Linked DNA regions of Neurospora crassa OR74A. The protein of the gene in region 2 interacts with the protein of the main gene of each other region in a biochemical or structural test. Links are inferred from orthologs where the notes say so. Each region holds a gene or a part of one and is shown on either strand. Other genes may lie near its edges.

Region 1 (7,955 bases), on a different chromosome or scaffold from region 2:
CGGAACAGTTCGTAACTGACTAACCATGCCACATTTTCTCCAGCTTCTGGTGTGTCCAGCTCATCCCACAAATATGGACCAACTACCGCACCAAAAGCACAACCGGCCTCCCGGGAACCATGATGTTCCTCTGGGCGCTGTGCGGCGTTCCGTTCGGGGTGTACGCGATAGCCCAGAACTTTAATGTACCCATCCAGGTGCAGCCACAGGCATTCATGACGCTTTGTTTAGTTGGTTGGGCGCAGATTTTGATATATGGATCGTAAGTCTTTTTCTCTTCCGATCTTCCTTCTGTGATGTTGGCGTTAAGTTGGTGAGATGGAGACAGATACTGACAAGGCACAAACAGAAAATGGCCAACCTGGAAAGCTACTCTCCTAGCCTTGATTGTAGCTTGCGTGTTTGCCGGTGTTGAGGCTGCCCTGATCTTGACACTACGGGTGAGTTATTCCTTTCCCTTCCCTTCCTTTATCCTCCTATTCAAAAACCGAAAATGACTAAAACAAAACGCAAAAGCCCCTTTACGAAGAAGGCAACGAAACCCCCGTCCGAGTTATCGGCATCATAGCCGCCATCCTCCTCGCCGCCGGCCTCCTGCCTCCCTACGGAGAAATGTACAAGCGGCACGGTCGAGTCGTCGGCATCAACTGGATCTTTCTGTCGATGGACTGGTCAGGAGCCTTCTTCTCCCTCATGGCCGTAGTGACGCAAAATACGTTTGACGTCCTGGGTGGTGTGCTCTACATCATTTGCGCCTTCCTCGAGCTAGGCATCTTTGCGTCGCACTTGATTTGGCTGGTGAGGACGAGAAGCATAAGGAAGCAACTCAAAAAGGACGGCAAGACTTTTGACGATTTGTTGGGCGAGTATGAGAAGCGGGGAGAGAGTTGGAAGTGGGCAGAGAGGGATTTGGATTTGGGGAGGTTGAAGTTTTGGGCGAGGAAGGACAAGAAGAGGGAAGAGGAGGAGGGTGAAGTGGAGATTGAGCAAAGGGACTTGGAAAAGCAGGATGTCAGTAATTCTGCTGCTGATGCTGTGGAACAGCAACGTGATGGGGCTTTGGACAGTAAGATGGCGATGGCTGAGGCACAAAATCAAAACGGGAACGCGGAGGATACAGATGCAAGTACGCCTACCATGGTGGATGGGGAGAACAGGGCGGTAGACAGGGCCTGAAGGGGACGGCGTGATGGATGGATGCCTGATGAGGATATACAGAAACGAAGCTGGATGTTGAGGAACAACAAAAGAGAACTGGAATAGTTGGTTTTGGTTTCGGGTTTGGATATGATACCATGGCTGGAACTTCGCTACGGGATACGAAGGCTGTGCGAGTGAACGCATGATAGCCAGGGACACATCAGCTGGTTGAACATGAAAAATGAAAGTAGGAACGAGGATATATGAGGAATGGAAGCCGCTGACGGCTAGCAGATAGTAATAGAATCCAAGTAGCTAATTGTTTTCATTGTTCTACCAACAGCCGTGTTCGAATGTATCCCGTCTGGGGATTTATTCTTCCATATTTTTTAACAAGTAAATAAGCACATGAAAGACATCGATCAGATGTGAGGGTATCGTAACCAGGGAATGCAGGAGGTGAACACCAATTTGCCCTCCCTAATGATGGCGGAACAAGAAAATACAAGGAAAGAAACGAAGGCGGCTCAAAACGTCAGACAACCTCCAATGCAAATGTCAAAAAGAAGGAAAAAGGAAATAACCGTGACCTGAACGATGAAAGCAAACAATGAAAACGGCTCGGGTTGATAGATGCGACCAGTTACCCTCGGCAGCTTCCAGGTTCAGTTGGAAAATGGAGGCGGGGATTCGAGCTGATAAGATCTCGAGATCTGAAAAAAGTCAAGAGCCGGTCCTTTAGGCCGTCCTGATATCCTCGGCACCTTCCGCTCCTGCCTTGACTGTTCTTATCGAGCCTTCCCAAAACGTCTTCAAATCAAAATATCCTTAAGTTCTTTCCGTCCAACTCGTCCGTAACCCGAATTTCCCCTCATCCCGCCGGGCCGCAGTTGGAGCTTCTCTCTTTCCCCACACTAATTTTGAGTCGGAGGCCTCGAAACCTGGATTCAAGACAAGCCAAAAAAAAAAAAAAAAAAAAAAAAAAAAAAAAAAAAAAAAAGAGTTCCTCAATCCCGAGACCATCATCTTATTAACGCTGTGAGGCACTAAGGTGTTATGTAAAAGGCGTTCAGTTTGCTTCACATGATTATGCACTTGTGATCGCCCTTCCTCTTTCTCCTCCGCTTCTTCTTCATGGGCCCATGACCATCCTCCTGTTTCCCTTGGCCGTAGCCGTACCCGCTACCATTGCGTGCGCCATCGTCGTCATCTAGTTGGCCGCTATCGTCTCTTCGGAGCATTTGGCGGCAGAGGTCGATGAAGACTTCGTCAACGTTTGCTTTTTGGAAGTGTCAGTACCTAATCTTTCTCTTTTTGAATAGGGACATGAACAACATACTCCTCGTCCTAGCACTAGCCTCATAATAAGGCGCATTCCACTGCTGAGAAATGGTAAAGGCCTTTGCGCGATCGACGGCTCGTTGGTCTAGCAGGTCGGCCTTGTTGCCCACCATGACGATGGGGATGTTCTCGTCATCTTTGATGCGTATGATCTCTTCCCGAAGCGTGGCGAGCTCGTCTAGCGAGGCTTGCGAGGTTATACTGAAGACTAACAGGAATCCTTGGCCGGCCTTCATGTACAGGTCTCGCATAGCAACTTTTGCCCAAAGTGTTAGCGAGGCAAGTTTCAAGTTGGAGGGTGTTAGTTGACCCAGGGCGGTTCTGTTACTCACCGAACTGTTCTGTACCGGCCGTGTCGAGGCTGATGAGCTACATGTTAGCATTACCCGGTCAAAAAGTGAAGTGTCAGTGAGGGTGAAGTGTAAATGAGGAAGGTCTCACATTTCCAGTATCACTTGTCGTCCCTGGAGGTCCTCGTTAGCAAGTCTGGAACATAAACATTCAATTAATAGAATAGAAAAGTTAAGACTTACATCGACAGCCACCTGTGTCCTATACGAGTCCTCAATGGTTGGATCATAGCTTTCAATCCATTCATTGTGTACAAATTGTGCTGTTGTTCACAACATGTTCAGTATAGTGTTCCGTTGTCTTGTCCACACAGGTGACAGGGGTCATCATGCAGGTGTGGTTGAATCGGGTTTAGACTTTGGGGGCACACAACATACCAGTTAAGCAACTCTTGCCGACACCTCCTTAAGTAAGCCATCAAAGTCAGCAGTTGTAGCATGTGATGCGCATGTCTTGGCATAGGGGGTTTGTGTGTGTTTTTTTTTGTGTGATTTTCTTGATTTTTTGATTTTTTTTTTCCACGATGGGGTTCACAGCGAAAAGTCAGGTGAAAGAGCAGGGTGGAGCACAACATACCGGTACCTAGGACAACGATGTGGAATTCGCGGCTATAGGACGAATCAGCATCAGAGCAAAGAGGTTAGGGAGTGACAGGACGTCTGATGAGCACTGCTGTGGCCCCATTGATGTGTAAGGTAGGCTGTGCTCTAGAATAGAAATACGAGGGGGCGTCTGAAGATGGAGGCCCATCAAACACTGATGTAATATAAGAGAGTGGGTGCTCACCAAGGCTGGAATCCGTAAGTGCGCATCATGGTCAACGGGAGGAGTCCACCTCAGACAGCTGGCCAGGGCTTATACGAACTGAAGGGCAGAGTAAAAGCCAATACACGCGTCCTGGCCCGTCACACTCTGCCCGTTTCGAAGATGCGAATGCGTTTGCGTGTGCGGTAGATATCGGGGTGGTTGTCGTCGTCGCTTTTGGGATGGGCGACTTTGATCTGATATGCTGCCCCCTTTTGCTGCGCGCCGTGTTATTTTTTTGCTTCAGTGTTTGGGATCGGCTCGCCGGAATCTCCAACTTTTGCAGATCAGACGAAAAAGAGGTCAAAGCCTAGCCAGCTCGCTCCAAATAGCTCTAGCTATTCGCGGGGCGCTATATTGGCGGATGCGACGATATGCCCGCTCGGCCGTCACACCATGCAGCAGTCCACCGGGAACAATCCGGACCGTAAACCGAGAAGGATGGGGGCCACCTTTACGTGAAGGTAAATTTCTCCCAGCAAGCGATTTTGAAAGCGAAAGAAGGATGAGTCTCGAGTCCGTTCTCGCCTTCTGGGAAAGGGTATCGGTATCGGTAGGTACGTAGCAACGACCTGAGGGGAATCGCTCCGAGTCGGGATTCTGGACCGCTTTAGAAAATTTTGGGCCTCCCAATTTCGCAGGGCTCTTTTTTCACTTCGACTGAATTGGCGGCTGGCCCCCTCTACACAAGGTTGTTCTCGCGCGTCGTTAACGTGACTGTGACTTCTCGGTTCCGTCCCAACAATCCACCCACATGAACTGTTTAAAACTGAGCAGAGCACAACACGAAGCAACAAGCGCCTCCGGGAGTTTGGGGGGTAAAGTATACAGCCTGTGAAGTACCTATCTCTTTCGAGGAGGGGTTGGGGGCCAAAGCGCCGGGGAAGGGCGGGAATGGATGGGCTGGAAGGGCGTGCTGAACCGTTGCTTTCCAGCTGGGCGCAAGCAAATAATTAAGCATCGATGGTTCCAACAGAAAGGCGAGAAGCCTAAACGGGTCAGAAGGGTCGTGAGGGTCTCGTCCGCCGCTTGTGGTGCCGTGGTGGTGCCCAAAGTGGTACCCGGTGGAGTCTAGTCCGGGATGGCTTCAGAAGCCAAAAAGGCCTAGATGAGTTCAAGCCCACCGGCTGATGAGGAACCAGCGCCCCGGTTACAGGGCCGAGCCTCGCGTGCGCGTTGCTGGGTCCCAGATGTCCCGATCAAACCAGCTAGGGTTGATGTCGAGGATCCCGGCCACTGCCTTTGTGAAGGATATCACGAGACGTTGCGTTGATAAGACGGGGGTGTTTAGTGACTCCAATATGCCATATGCGAGCTCAGCGTGTTTGTATAGAGTCCAGACCTGAGATGGAATGGGTTTGATATCTCAAAAATAAAAGAGAACACGAAAGGCAAAAGAAAGTCCGGGGCGACCAGATTACCCATCGTGTCCATCATAACTCCTCTTTATCCACCTCCATCATCGGCACTTGTACTTCCGCAAAGCCGCCGAGTGTCTGTCTGCCTCCAGTCATGATATGCTGTTCAGTAACCGCCGGGGACCTGCCGGAGCAATGGCCACTATGGTCAACTCGACGGTGGCGTCCAGCCCAACTCTGGGGATACACGACAGCCACGCCAACAAAAGAACCGTGAAGCGGAACCAAACGGACAGACGAGACATTGTCTGGATAGGCGCCCATGCAGTTAAGGTGACGGAGTGGTGACTGCTGTCCGGATGACGGATACATACTTGGTCGACGGTCCGTACCGTGGACATGGCCAAGCGACATATCTTGCTGCAAGAGACGGCGGGCGCATGACAGCCCGTCCATGTCTCGGACGGAAATACTGTGTCGTTTCGTTGCTTTCCCATTTCTTTGGCTGGCCATGAAGCCATCAACTGTCTTCGCGATTGACAATCCGAATTTATGGCTCCCGTCCAGGTGGAGGCTTTGCTCCAATTGGCCTGAAATGGTTACATATCAGTTGGGACTTTAGTTGCGCATCAGCTCCCTACCTCCACTCGCTGTAAGTGCCTGTCAATGCTGCAGCATGGTGTTTATTGCCCCTCGATTGATACCTATTCAACTTCGTTGCAAACCATTGAATGGCACATGATAAAGCAAATTGCTAGGTGTTGATGCCCATCTATTGCTCGTCAGGTACACACACACACAAGTTCGCGGGGTTGGTGGATATCTGGACCCGAAAGAGGAAGGGCTAACCATGTCCTGCCGAAACCCAAGTGTACAGCGGCGAGAGCTTTCTTCCCTCTCCAGTTGTGCTCACCTGGCCGGTCCCGCACCTGGAGCATATACCTAGTAGGTTATGCAAGAGAGTGAGGGGCTCGCCGGCCGCTTCAACTTCCCTTAACTTAACTCCAAACACCCACCGTTCGACCATCCTCAACGGCCAAGCGGCCTCACCTGCGACCTTTCATTATGCAGTGACCCATGCTCTATATGTCATTCAGTCGAACCAGGGTATTTAGGCGAGAAGTCAGGGTTTCCAATGGCCGACATTGAAGTCCAGACCACCGTTCGCCAATCGCTGTTTTCTTTTTCTCCCAAATTGCTAACTTTACGTCTTCTGTTTCTGCCACCTTCAACCAAATAATCATCAGACGCTCTCGCCTCTTTTGTTGTCTCATGCAAAGGAAAAAAATAGGATCCCTTGGCGATCAATAAACCCCTCTCTGACTGGACGGGATACCCTGGAAGCAAAGATCCGGCATAACTCACGATCCACGAATACCGAGCATGTTCGCCATGTCAATATCCCGATGTCGGTCGGACTGCGACGTCTATCGGACTCTCTCTCTTCAGCCATTTCACTTGTGTACTTTCTACGAAGCTCTCACACATCAGCTACGACCTGGCACAGCACAGGTTAATAGGTTACGTCGCAGCTCGTATCTTGCTCCTTTGCCCTTCCTTCGTGCTCCGATGGACAACAACCTTCCGACGCCATCTCTCAACGTGTCACACCTCCAGTTCTACCAACTAGCCAATCAACCTATACCACCGTTTATCGGCGATTCTCCTTTTATAAAGGCTTCACCATCCGATGTTGTATACATACAAACACGCCAGCGGCGGCGGCGGCGGGCAACTTTTTGTCGACGAACATCGGGTGTTGTCATCTCATGGCCCGTGCGTCAACATCTCTCGGTCTCAGTTCCAGGACCAATATTATCTTGCAGACCAGACAGCCCGAGGCTACTCGAGTGACAGCACTGTGAACAAAGCTAAGAGTTTGTAAGATCTACAAGGTCCACCATCAAGCCTTCTTGCTGTTGTCAGGAGAAAAGCATCCATATGAAAATAAAAAAAAAAAAAAAAAAAAGGTATTGGGTTCTCCTGACATTGACCTTGACTTTGCCATCCAAGACGGAAGCCAGGCATTGGAGCCGTTGGCCGGGCTTGGGATAGGGTATTACTCCTGGAGATGATTCCCCGAATGACGAACCACTTGTACCTGCCAGCTTACGGTACCGAATCGGAATGCAACCTATCTCTGAATGGTGGTGTCAAAGCTGCCAGGTACGAGGCAAATAGATGCATATCATACCAAAGCGATTGCTATTCCTGGCATACATTTACGCAGTAGTGTACAGCCGGCATTGGGTTAAACAGGTTGACATGTTGGAGTGACATTGAGAAGTTACCGCTTTGGACTAGTTGATGATATTATCAGCGCAAAGAGCATCAGCTTGGTCTCTCCTGGGGGTTTGGCATGGATATGCTGGACCACAAGGAGGGCGGCCGTCCACAAGCCATTTGCCGTTCAGGTGGCTGTAGGCTCCAACAACTGAAGCAAGCCGGCCAGAGTTACTTAGCAACAACAACCGGTGTTGCGTTGCGCAACCCCTAGAGAACATCACTCCCAAAGCACAAGCTGATACCCTCCCTAGTTGCTGACCTGGGGCTCCCTACGTCAACGGCTTCCAGTATTGCGTTACTACGGGATCATGAATCTCACGATCACTCTCTTCCCCGTACACCCGCCCGCTGCAGTGGTACTCGATTCAGGTCAATAAATGGTGTATCAACTCACCAACGTTAGTAAAAGTTGGGAAACCGGTCGAAAACCAATATGCCACAGCCTTCACTTCGCTGAAAAGCTGTGCTCAACCGAGTAGGTCTGTTCAACGATACCCTGCTAAACTTCCTGTGTCTGGATGATATGCCCAAGTCTCAATGAAGCTCGGTATGACGGAGCACTGCAGCCGACTAGCGAATGCTGTGGTCGTCGTGGGCAATTTATCTCGGGGACTGGATGAAAGGTAAACTGAAGTGAGAGTAAGCTTGCGGCTGGAGCTGAGACTCACGGTTGGA
Region 2 (8,070 bases):
AGCACCACCATTACCACCTCCACCACCTCTTCTTATGGTAATCCACCACCCATCTTCGACCTCGAGTAGCAACGTAGTTTGGTATCAAATTTAATCCTTCCACCCTCCCCCACGCCTAACCAAGAATCCATCTCCCAACTTGGCCCCACCGCAGCCTTCCAGCAAGCGCGCAGATCCTCCCCTGACTCTACTTCCTTCCTTTTTTTCACCATGGTCACAGACTCCTTTGGCCTGACTCCTGAGCTGTTCCAAAAAAATATCACCGTATCCCAAAGTCCCTGCCGCATCCAAAATGCCCCATGACCATCTGCGTCCCAGAAATTTTAGTGAGTGGAGAGAGACGAGCCGATCAATTCGAAATGTATTACAACGACTGAACCGCGAAGTCCTATATGATTTACGTATGCGTTTGGGTATATAGCGTGGGGTATAGATATCGCATTGTGTGTTGGATAAAGAGCAGTTTGTTGGCAGCCGTCAACGAGAAAAGATGGTATGTAACTGAGTGCGCAAATGAGCAATTCCCTCCACGTTGTTCGCCTTGCTTGTGTATGTAGCCATCTGGCGTGACTTTTGAAGGCCGAGCGCTTAGTTTACCCAGTTGCTGCCTTCGAATCAAATGTTCGTGAAACATGGCGCATGTGACCATGGTATCCGAATGCGCTGTGTATCGGAATATGGCCAACAAACGTGTATGGGTTGGGGTTTCAAAGTCCGTCAGTCCATTATTCCACGTAAACGAGCAGCTTTTCGTTCCGTTGCAGTGCAATATCCAGATCTTCGTCGTTCATCAGAGGAGGCTTCTCGCCACTCGCGTCGTCCTTGTAACTTAGCTGAACGTCCTCGCCCTGAGGAATCTTGAGACGATCCAGAATCTTGTCATGGAGAGCTTGGAATGGAATATCAGTGGGTACGCGGATGGCGATGATGTCGCCGTTGAAGTGCAGTTTCACTTTCATCTGTGAACCACCCTGCATAATAGCAGGTGACAATGAGGTCTGTGAAGCCTGCCCAGGTCCCGGAATCTGTTGGCCGTTGCCAATGCTCAGCTGCCTCTGAGGAACACCGAGACCGGCAGAATATCTGTTGCCGGCTGTGCTCTGTAGTGAGAGGCCGTCGGCTGGTGAGTCAGAGGACGGACCAGAGCCTCCAGAGAATCGGTATTCCTCGCGAGCAACGCTAGGGTCGATTTCGTAATCACCCTCTCTAGGAGAAAAGAACTGCTTGACCAGGTTACAGCGGGAGATGTGTGGCGGTTGTTCCAGTAGACTTTTAACGTAAGAGTCAAGGTTGTGGCGGCGGCCTTCCGTAATCGCATCAGTCACGTAATTAACAGGACCGGGCATGTAGGGTAGCGTCCGCTGCTTGCCGCCTGTAGTTCCAGCTTCAAGAGGGAACTCGGTTAGGAGCGCGATTTGGAAGTCGTAGAAATCCTCGTAGTATCGCGAAAGTTCGAAGCATCGACCATCCTCCAGTTCGGCTTCAATAACAAACCAGTACTTGTCCTCGGCAAAGCAGTACCTCGGAACCCTGGCTGCGATGGGTGCGTATAGTGTCGAGGTTGGCCTCGAATAGGATTGTCCTTGAGCCTGTATCTGTTGCTGCAAAGACCTGTTAGTACAAACACGCACGCAAAGTAAGTGGACAGAATACACGTACCTGGGTATGAGTAGTCTGCTGGCTCAACCGGGCGCTTCCTTGCAAAGTTAAGCGGTTCATGGCCTGGTCAAGTGGTGGTTGGCCACCACCGCCACCACCAACATCGAACTTGCCGAGCGTTATGCTCGAGTTCTTATATTCCGCAGCCATCTTCTTCCACTCCTCGACCTTTGGAATCCCAGCTTTTCGTATGGCATCATGGGGGTTCGGGACAGGGGTGTTACTCGCCATGTCCCGGATCTCAACAAAGGATACGGGAATCAGACCCGGGCCGCCAAGTCTTCCGATGGGCTTAGCCACGAACCATTCGGGGTTCGACTGGGCAATGACAATGATGGCCTCGCCCTGCTTGGCTTCCAATTCGTCTGCCCGTTCGGCTTGGAAATCGTACAAAACGACACCATAAACCATGGCTCCATTCTTGCCAGGCGTTTTCGACATCCGATTCGCGGCGTTTGCTCCAGGAGGCGAGGCCGCCGAGCCTTCGCCGTATCCAGAATCACTATCTACGGTCTTCAAACCCAGTGAACCGGTTTGAGACTGGCCGCTATCGCGTTCCGTACGTCCAAGGGCCTGGAAATAAGCGACGGGCACGAGACCACGAGCGTCTGGTAGCGCAGGGTTGCACGCCTCATACCACTCTGGGTCATTTTCACGACCGATGACATGGAAGAAATCGCCGCGTGAAAAGCTAAGCTCCTGTGCATTTTGTGCTTCGTAATCGTAGAGAGCTTTTATAACCTGTGATAACAAGTTTAGCCTAAGCGCCTTGTGGCTGACACCTTGTTACGAGACATACCTTCTTTGGAGGGACGATGGCGACGGCAGATTTCGGTTGAATAGTAATATGAGGTTTGGAGTCCTTCTCTCCACCCTTGATGGACCTTCGTAGAGCCTTAAAACCGCGTGACATTGTTAGTTGCCAGAACGACGAAACCGCAGTATTGAAATGAGTAGTCCGACGAGGCCAAGAAAATTCGAGAGGTGCTGTGGGTGTAGATGGAGCAGACACTAAGAAAAAGGATTCTTCCGGTTCACGCAAGCTGTATTGCATCGTGACGAATTGGCCAAGGCAAGAACGCCTATGTGATGGTGTATGAATACCTGAGCCGTAGCCCGATCCTATCTCTCATGTCCCCAATAGCAGTGAAGCCTCTGCTATACAATCACGAGGGCTGTTTCCTGGGGAACGAGCAAAAACGATCGGACTGAAGAGGAGGAGGGACGGGGAAGGGAAGAGAGAGGGGATGGCAGAGCACAGAACAGCGGGGAATGACGTACCTTCATCTTGTCCGACAGCGATACTCAGACGACTTGTAAGCTATGTGTACACAAACCAAAACCGGAACTATTGTGCTATACACAGAGAGAAACAGGAACGGCTGACGGGGTGAGAGGCGTCAGCAAACAACTTTTGGAGCGGGCGTCCTGGTGTCGGCGTGCGCGGGCAATCGTGGTTGGGGTTACGCCGACTCAAATGACGGACGGCGAGAGGGCTTGCCTAGGATCCCTCTGGGGTTGGTCCTGGGCGGTTCTGCTCGTGTGTGTGGTGTGTGTGTGTGTGTGTCGTGGAGGGTGTTGCTAGGTGGAATCTGTGTAACGATCCAAATGTGCCGTATGTATCGGTCGGATGGGAGCCGGGAAAGCAGCGCGGCGATGACGGGAGTGGATATCGCGGACGGGGTCGTTATCTGCTGCACTAGTGTTTGCGACCGTGCGAACGTAAGGGAGACGTAATTTGGAAAGCAGCGGTTGTCCAGCTAATTTCGGCGACCGTTTCGTGTAAAATGGTCGCGCCCCAATACTTCTGTTCCCCAAGTGGATAGCTGACCCCAAGTTCGCTGTCTGGCCGAGTTTGCCTCAATCTTGGCTTTCCGTCTTTGTCTGAGCCTGATCAGGGCCGCCTGGCGTGTGGGCGTGTGGTGTTGATGCAATTCTCTTGTTCCTTTGTTCAGCCGCAATGCCGACTGCCTAGACCCAATGCTCAATGCGCAAGTCCCAGTCCGGCGAGCGCTTCTAGAATGTCTAAGTAGTGGTGGACAATCCGCCGGGAGTTGCGTTGGGTGTTGCGACGAGTGTTGTCGGCGATGATGGACTTGACTGTCGCAGTAGGAAGGTTGGTTGTCGAGAGTTGGAACTGGTGATGAGTGAACGAAGCGAGCGAACGGGCAGGTGGGAATGGAAACTGGAAACTGCACGGTGGCGGGGAAGGATCAGGATCAGGTGGGATATATGGCCTGCGTGCCTTGCGTGCTAGTCCTCGGGACGGGCAGCAATAGCATTAAAAAAATAATAAAAAGGGAGATAGCAACAGCCCAAAGCCAAGCTTGCAACGGAAGCAGCAAGGGTGATCACCAAGGGTCGGGTCCAGGTGTGTTCTCGCAGAGTGGAAGCCGACAGGGTGTGGAGGTGGTGGCCGGAGATGGCTCGAAGACGGGCGGGTAGGTGTGATGAAGGTCACAAGCAAGTCACCAGCCTAGCCGAGACGGACGGCATGGAACATGTTGGAAAAACAGCCACTCAGGCTTGCTTATTCGCCTAGTGTCTGTTAGTGTCTGCTAGTTTATGTCCGTGTCCTGACCGTGAAAGGGTGGCTGCCTCTATCTAGCCGTTAGCATCCGCATGACAATCGGCATGACAATGGACGGCCAAGGACCTCGACTTAAGAGGGGAATTGTAGCGTTGCAGCAGCGCAGAGGCCGCGCGGGCAGGTACCTGAAGGCACCCCGGCCTGGTTGATTGGCGCAGTTGCTGCCCTGCATGTTGGTGCAATTGGAGAGCGCCGCCAGGGTTCTCACGTCCAGAGGGACCCACCCTCCCTGGACCTGGCTGTGGTGGATTCGAATTGGCTTTCGTTCTTAGGTACCTCCACTGTTTCTTGGCCGCTCTCGATCTTTGGGATTCCGGACGTGCCCACCGCGATACGACCAGGAACTTTGCGACAAACGAATGAAAGAAGTCGGCCAACGTCAAATCTCAACTGAAACCAACCAGCTTGCTAGTCTTACACGATCTGATCAAAGATGAGCCGCGCGCAATGAGGCCATTGAAAAGCTAAGATTGCTGCTCCCTCAGGTATTCTCCGTTGGTATCTTTGTCGCTGTCATTGCCTGGCCTAAGATATGTGTGCGTGCTAGTGTGCATGATATTGTACATATCTTTGAAGCCACTGCATATGCATCGTGATCGCGCTTGTCATAGCGGAAACTGTGGTTGGTTTGCTGAGTCGAGTCGACAACCAGGGTGTTATGGACACGGTACCTGAGGATTTTTTCTCACTTCTCCAACCTCAACTGAAGGATTGATTGCTTCATTCTCGAGTCTGTTCCGTCACTACCCATCCAAGTGACTTGAAAGGCGTCGTCGTCGACAACAAGTCGATGCTGTGAGGCAGGAATATGCCTGCTGTTAGTGCATCAACTCATACGATGCGTCATGAGATGTTCAAAGCCCACACCTTGTCAATGCATTGACATCGGGCTCCATCATAACGTCGGTGGACTTGAAAGCCGAAGGGGACTCGATAGAATGCAAGGCCTCCAAGACGGTTCACAAGCAACCCCTAGTAGGAAAAAGCCTAGTACTAGCATCACTGGATTGACGCTGACATATGTCCTTCTGATGGCGACTTAGCTCGGGATTTTCAGATCTACCTATGTTTGGCAGATTCATTCTACACAGTCCGAATCTCCTTCATTGGTGCAGCAAAAAGCATCGCGATCAAATTTTAGGTAGATATCGGTTCTCGGTCTCGGGGTATTTCGGATGAAGCTCCGCGGCCTGTGCCTGACTAATCAGAACAACCCAACCCAACAGCGAACAAGGAGCATTGGCGTCTAGACTCGATAGAGACAGCACTGTAACGGCCTGGTAGGGCTCTGCCGCAAAGCTCCCGATTTTGGAATCTGGGCATTAACCGATCCAGTTTTTTCTTTCTTTTCTTATTCTTTTGCTTAACAAATCTCACTTTTTGTCATTTCGGGGTTTCTGTTCGGCCTTTGTATCATGTTCATCTCATTCTGGCCACAACAATAATATGCGAGCTCCTAGAGGGAATCATAAACACGAGAATAGTGCAAGTGGACGGACGTCCTTCGAATACTCAACATCTTCACCCTCTCTATTGGACATGAACAACGCCCAAGAAAAGCCGCCAATTGCCATGTTTTCCATGGCAATGGTTTCAACCCTCTTTCCATTTATCGATGCACGACTTCTACGTACATGCACGAGGTTTGACCAATCGGGATGTGACGCGAGGAGCACACGACGGGCCGGGATGCCCGCTGGCGCACCTGTAAGCAATGAGGCAGCGTGGTATTTTTCCTTTTTCCACATGGTATGGTGTCTATCTTTCGCCTCACCAGCCACCGCTTCAATTCGACCCAAGGTTAAGTTAGCAACTGCATCAAGAAGCAAACGCGTAGCATGGAGGTTCGTCACATCTGCTTGCAATGCGGGCAGAAGTCGAAGGACCCGACCCTTTTCCACCATTGATTATGATGCGCGGCCGATTGTGTTGGCCTCCGGCTCCCCGTACTCTGACTCAAAAGACAACAAGGATGGCATCGATATCGACGGCGCACAATATGACTGTGTTGTGTGCTGGAGCTCACTAAGTACGTTCTTATTTTGCTAACTGTAAGACATGCCCACTCAACCTCCCTGCTCTTAGCATTGTTCCCTTAACGCCAAACACCTGAGTTACCTGTACTAGCATGAAGAAGGAACAAAGAAAAAAAGACAAGGGACAAATGCAAGCAGTTTTGACACCCCGAGACGCCAAAACCCTATGCTCGCTGACCCAAACCACCACCCAAAGATGCCGACACCGGAACGCAAGGGATACTGAAAAATTGTTGAATAAGAGAGCGGTGCCTGTAAGGACGCATAGAAGGAGAGCAGGGTGCCACTACAGCACCATAGCAACTAATGCTGCTGCTTCCACGTCGCCAAAGGTCACCTCCGCATGACCCTAATGCTTGCTAAAACAAGAGACCCCGTGAGCCGACACGTCGAGATCCTCCGGCAAGACACATTGATCGGGAAAGAAGGGGGTCGATGTGCGAAGACGCCATCTATCATCCTGTCCACCGAGAATGGGTTCCGAAAACGGTGGATATTACGTCTCCATTTTTGAGTAGAGTAGGCAGATTCGAATACTGCACGCCTCAACCACGTTTGAGGTCAATTAGGTTGACCTGATGCTGGCAAATGACATTGAAGAACAGGATCTGCGCCTGTCCTGAAGGAACTAGCTGAAAAGGTAAGTCGGACTGCGTTGCAAGTGGCAACCTGGCGGATCGTGAGGTCGTGAGACGACTCGGGGGAAGAAGTGGTTTTCGTCAGTGTAAGAGCTCCACAAGGCATGACGTGGGCTTCCTCTAACGCATTCCACGTTACTATTCAGGGAGTAACATCGGAATTGACAACGAAGAAACGGAGATAGAAAACCCGTCGGTATTCTCTATCGCCGAAATCCCCCATGAGGTGTTGGCGATAGAAGCCCAGGTCGCAAATGTCGTGGGGTAGGACAGCGACATAGGTCGACGAAGGGCGTGCTATCAATAATATCAAACTACTGCATGACGACGCAAGGGTGCAGATCCCGGTGACCGAGGTGAGAAACTACGAAGGCGGAGATGAAGTAGAAACGTGAGGTCGACAGCCGGTGCTCATGTCTTGAAAGAGTTGGGAACGATGTGGGCGGGTGCGGCGACGATAGGAAATAAGGACTCAGTGCTGTTAGATTTGACCTTTAATGTCAACCCTGGAAAATGCTGCCTTCCTCGGACCCTCGAACAGCTCTTTAGCTTTTCCGGTCAGGAACATAACAGTTCCCTCGCGATCCTCCAATAGATCCTGGCCCTGGTAGTCGAGGATAAATTGGGCAGCATCCGCATCCGACTCAAAGTACAGCTCTTCCGTGACGAAGCGCAGCGGCACATCAGGTTTATACCTAATCGAAGTCAGGAACACATCACAGTACATGGAGGGAACGAAAAGTACATACGCCTTACAGATGTTGCAAAGAGCGGCAAGGCGTTCACGGCCAACGAACATATCCATAAGATATGCACCCATGTTGGGCGTGTCGTTGTAGAGCCGGAAAAAGCGGTGGTAATTGCCAAGTGCCAAAGCGGATCGGACGTCAAGCGCATGCTTTATGGCTTCTTCCTCCTTCTCTGCTGCAGTTAGATCCGCCAGGACGTCGTTTAACGCCGTGCGGTTAGCGGTATGAATGAAATACAAGATACGATACGCCTTGAACTCAATCGACTTCCCCTTGATACCCATTTTGTAGAGGGCCTTGAGCTGGGTTTGACATTGATTATACTCACCGAGGTCCCCCTTCTCCAAGGCAATCCGAGCATGAATTTCGTAGACTTCTACAGTAAACTCATTCTTGAT

Evidence for each region. The genes of interacting proteins can lie anywhere in the genome.
Region 1: the proteins of NCU06593 (region 2) and krev-1 form a complex in vitro, tested with the Saccharomyces cerevisiae proteins (2 studies listed by BioGRID). The link is inferred for Neurospora crassa OR74A from reciprocal best matches to the Saccharomyces cerevisiae genes BEM1 and RSR1.

What each region holds. Positions count from the first base shown.
Region 1 is NC_026501.1:1,020,054-1,028,008, forward strand, and holds krev-1 (krev-1), read right to left. Parts: upstream 4,925-7,955; 5' UTR 3,648-4,924; coding exon 3,619-3,647; intron 3,441-3,618; coding exon 3,409-3,440; intron 3,237-3,408; coding exon 3,210-3,236; intron 3,095-3,209; coding exon 3,015-3,094; intron 2,946-3,014; coding exon 2,923-2,945; intron 2,843-2,922; coding exon 2,814-2,842; intron 2,738-2,813; coding exon 2,480-2,737; intron 2,420-2,479; coding exon 2,220-2,419; 3' UTR 2,142-2,219; downstream 1-2,141. Other genes in the region: NCU02168 (PQ loop repeat protein), read left to right, coding at 44-262, 350-440, 517-1,176. UniProt on the Saccharomyces cerevisiae protein: Ras-related protein which binds GDP/GTP and possesses intrinsic GTPase activity. Involved in development of cell polarity during the cell division cycle, and essential for bud emergence.
Region 2 is NC_026504.1:1,741,112-1,749,181, forward strand, and holds the start of NCU06593 (MAP kinase activator), read right to left. Parts: upstream 4,180-8,070; 5' UTR 2,947-4,179; coding exon 2,941-2,946; intron 2,555-2,940; coding exon 2,459-2,554; intron 2,401-2,458; coding exon 1,660-2,400; intron 1,602-1,659; coding exon 726-1,601; 3' UTR 1-725. Other genes in the region: NCU06594 (GANP domain-containing protein), read right to left, coding at 7,405-7,618, 7,673-8,070.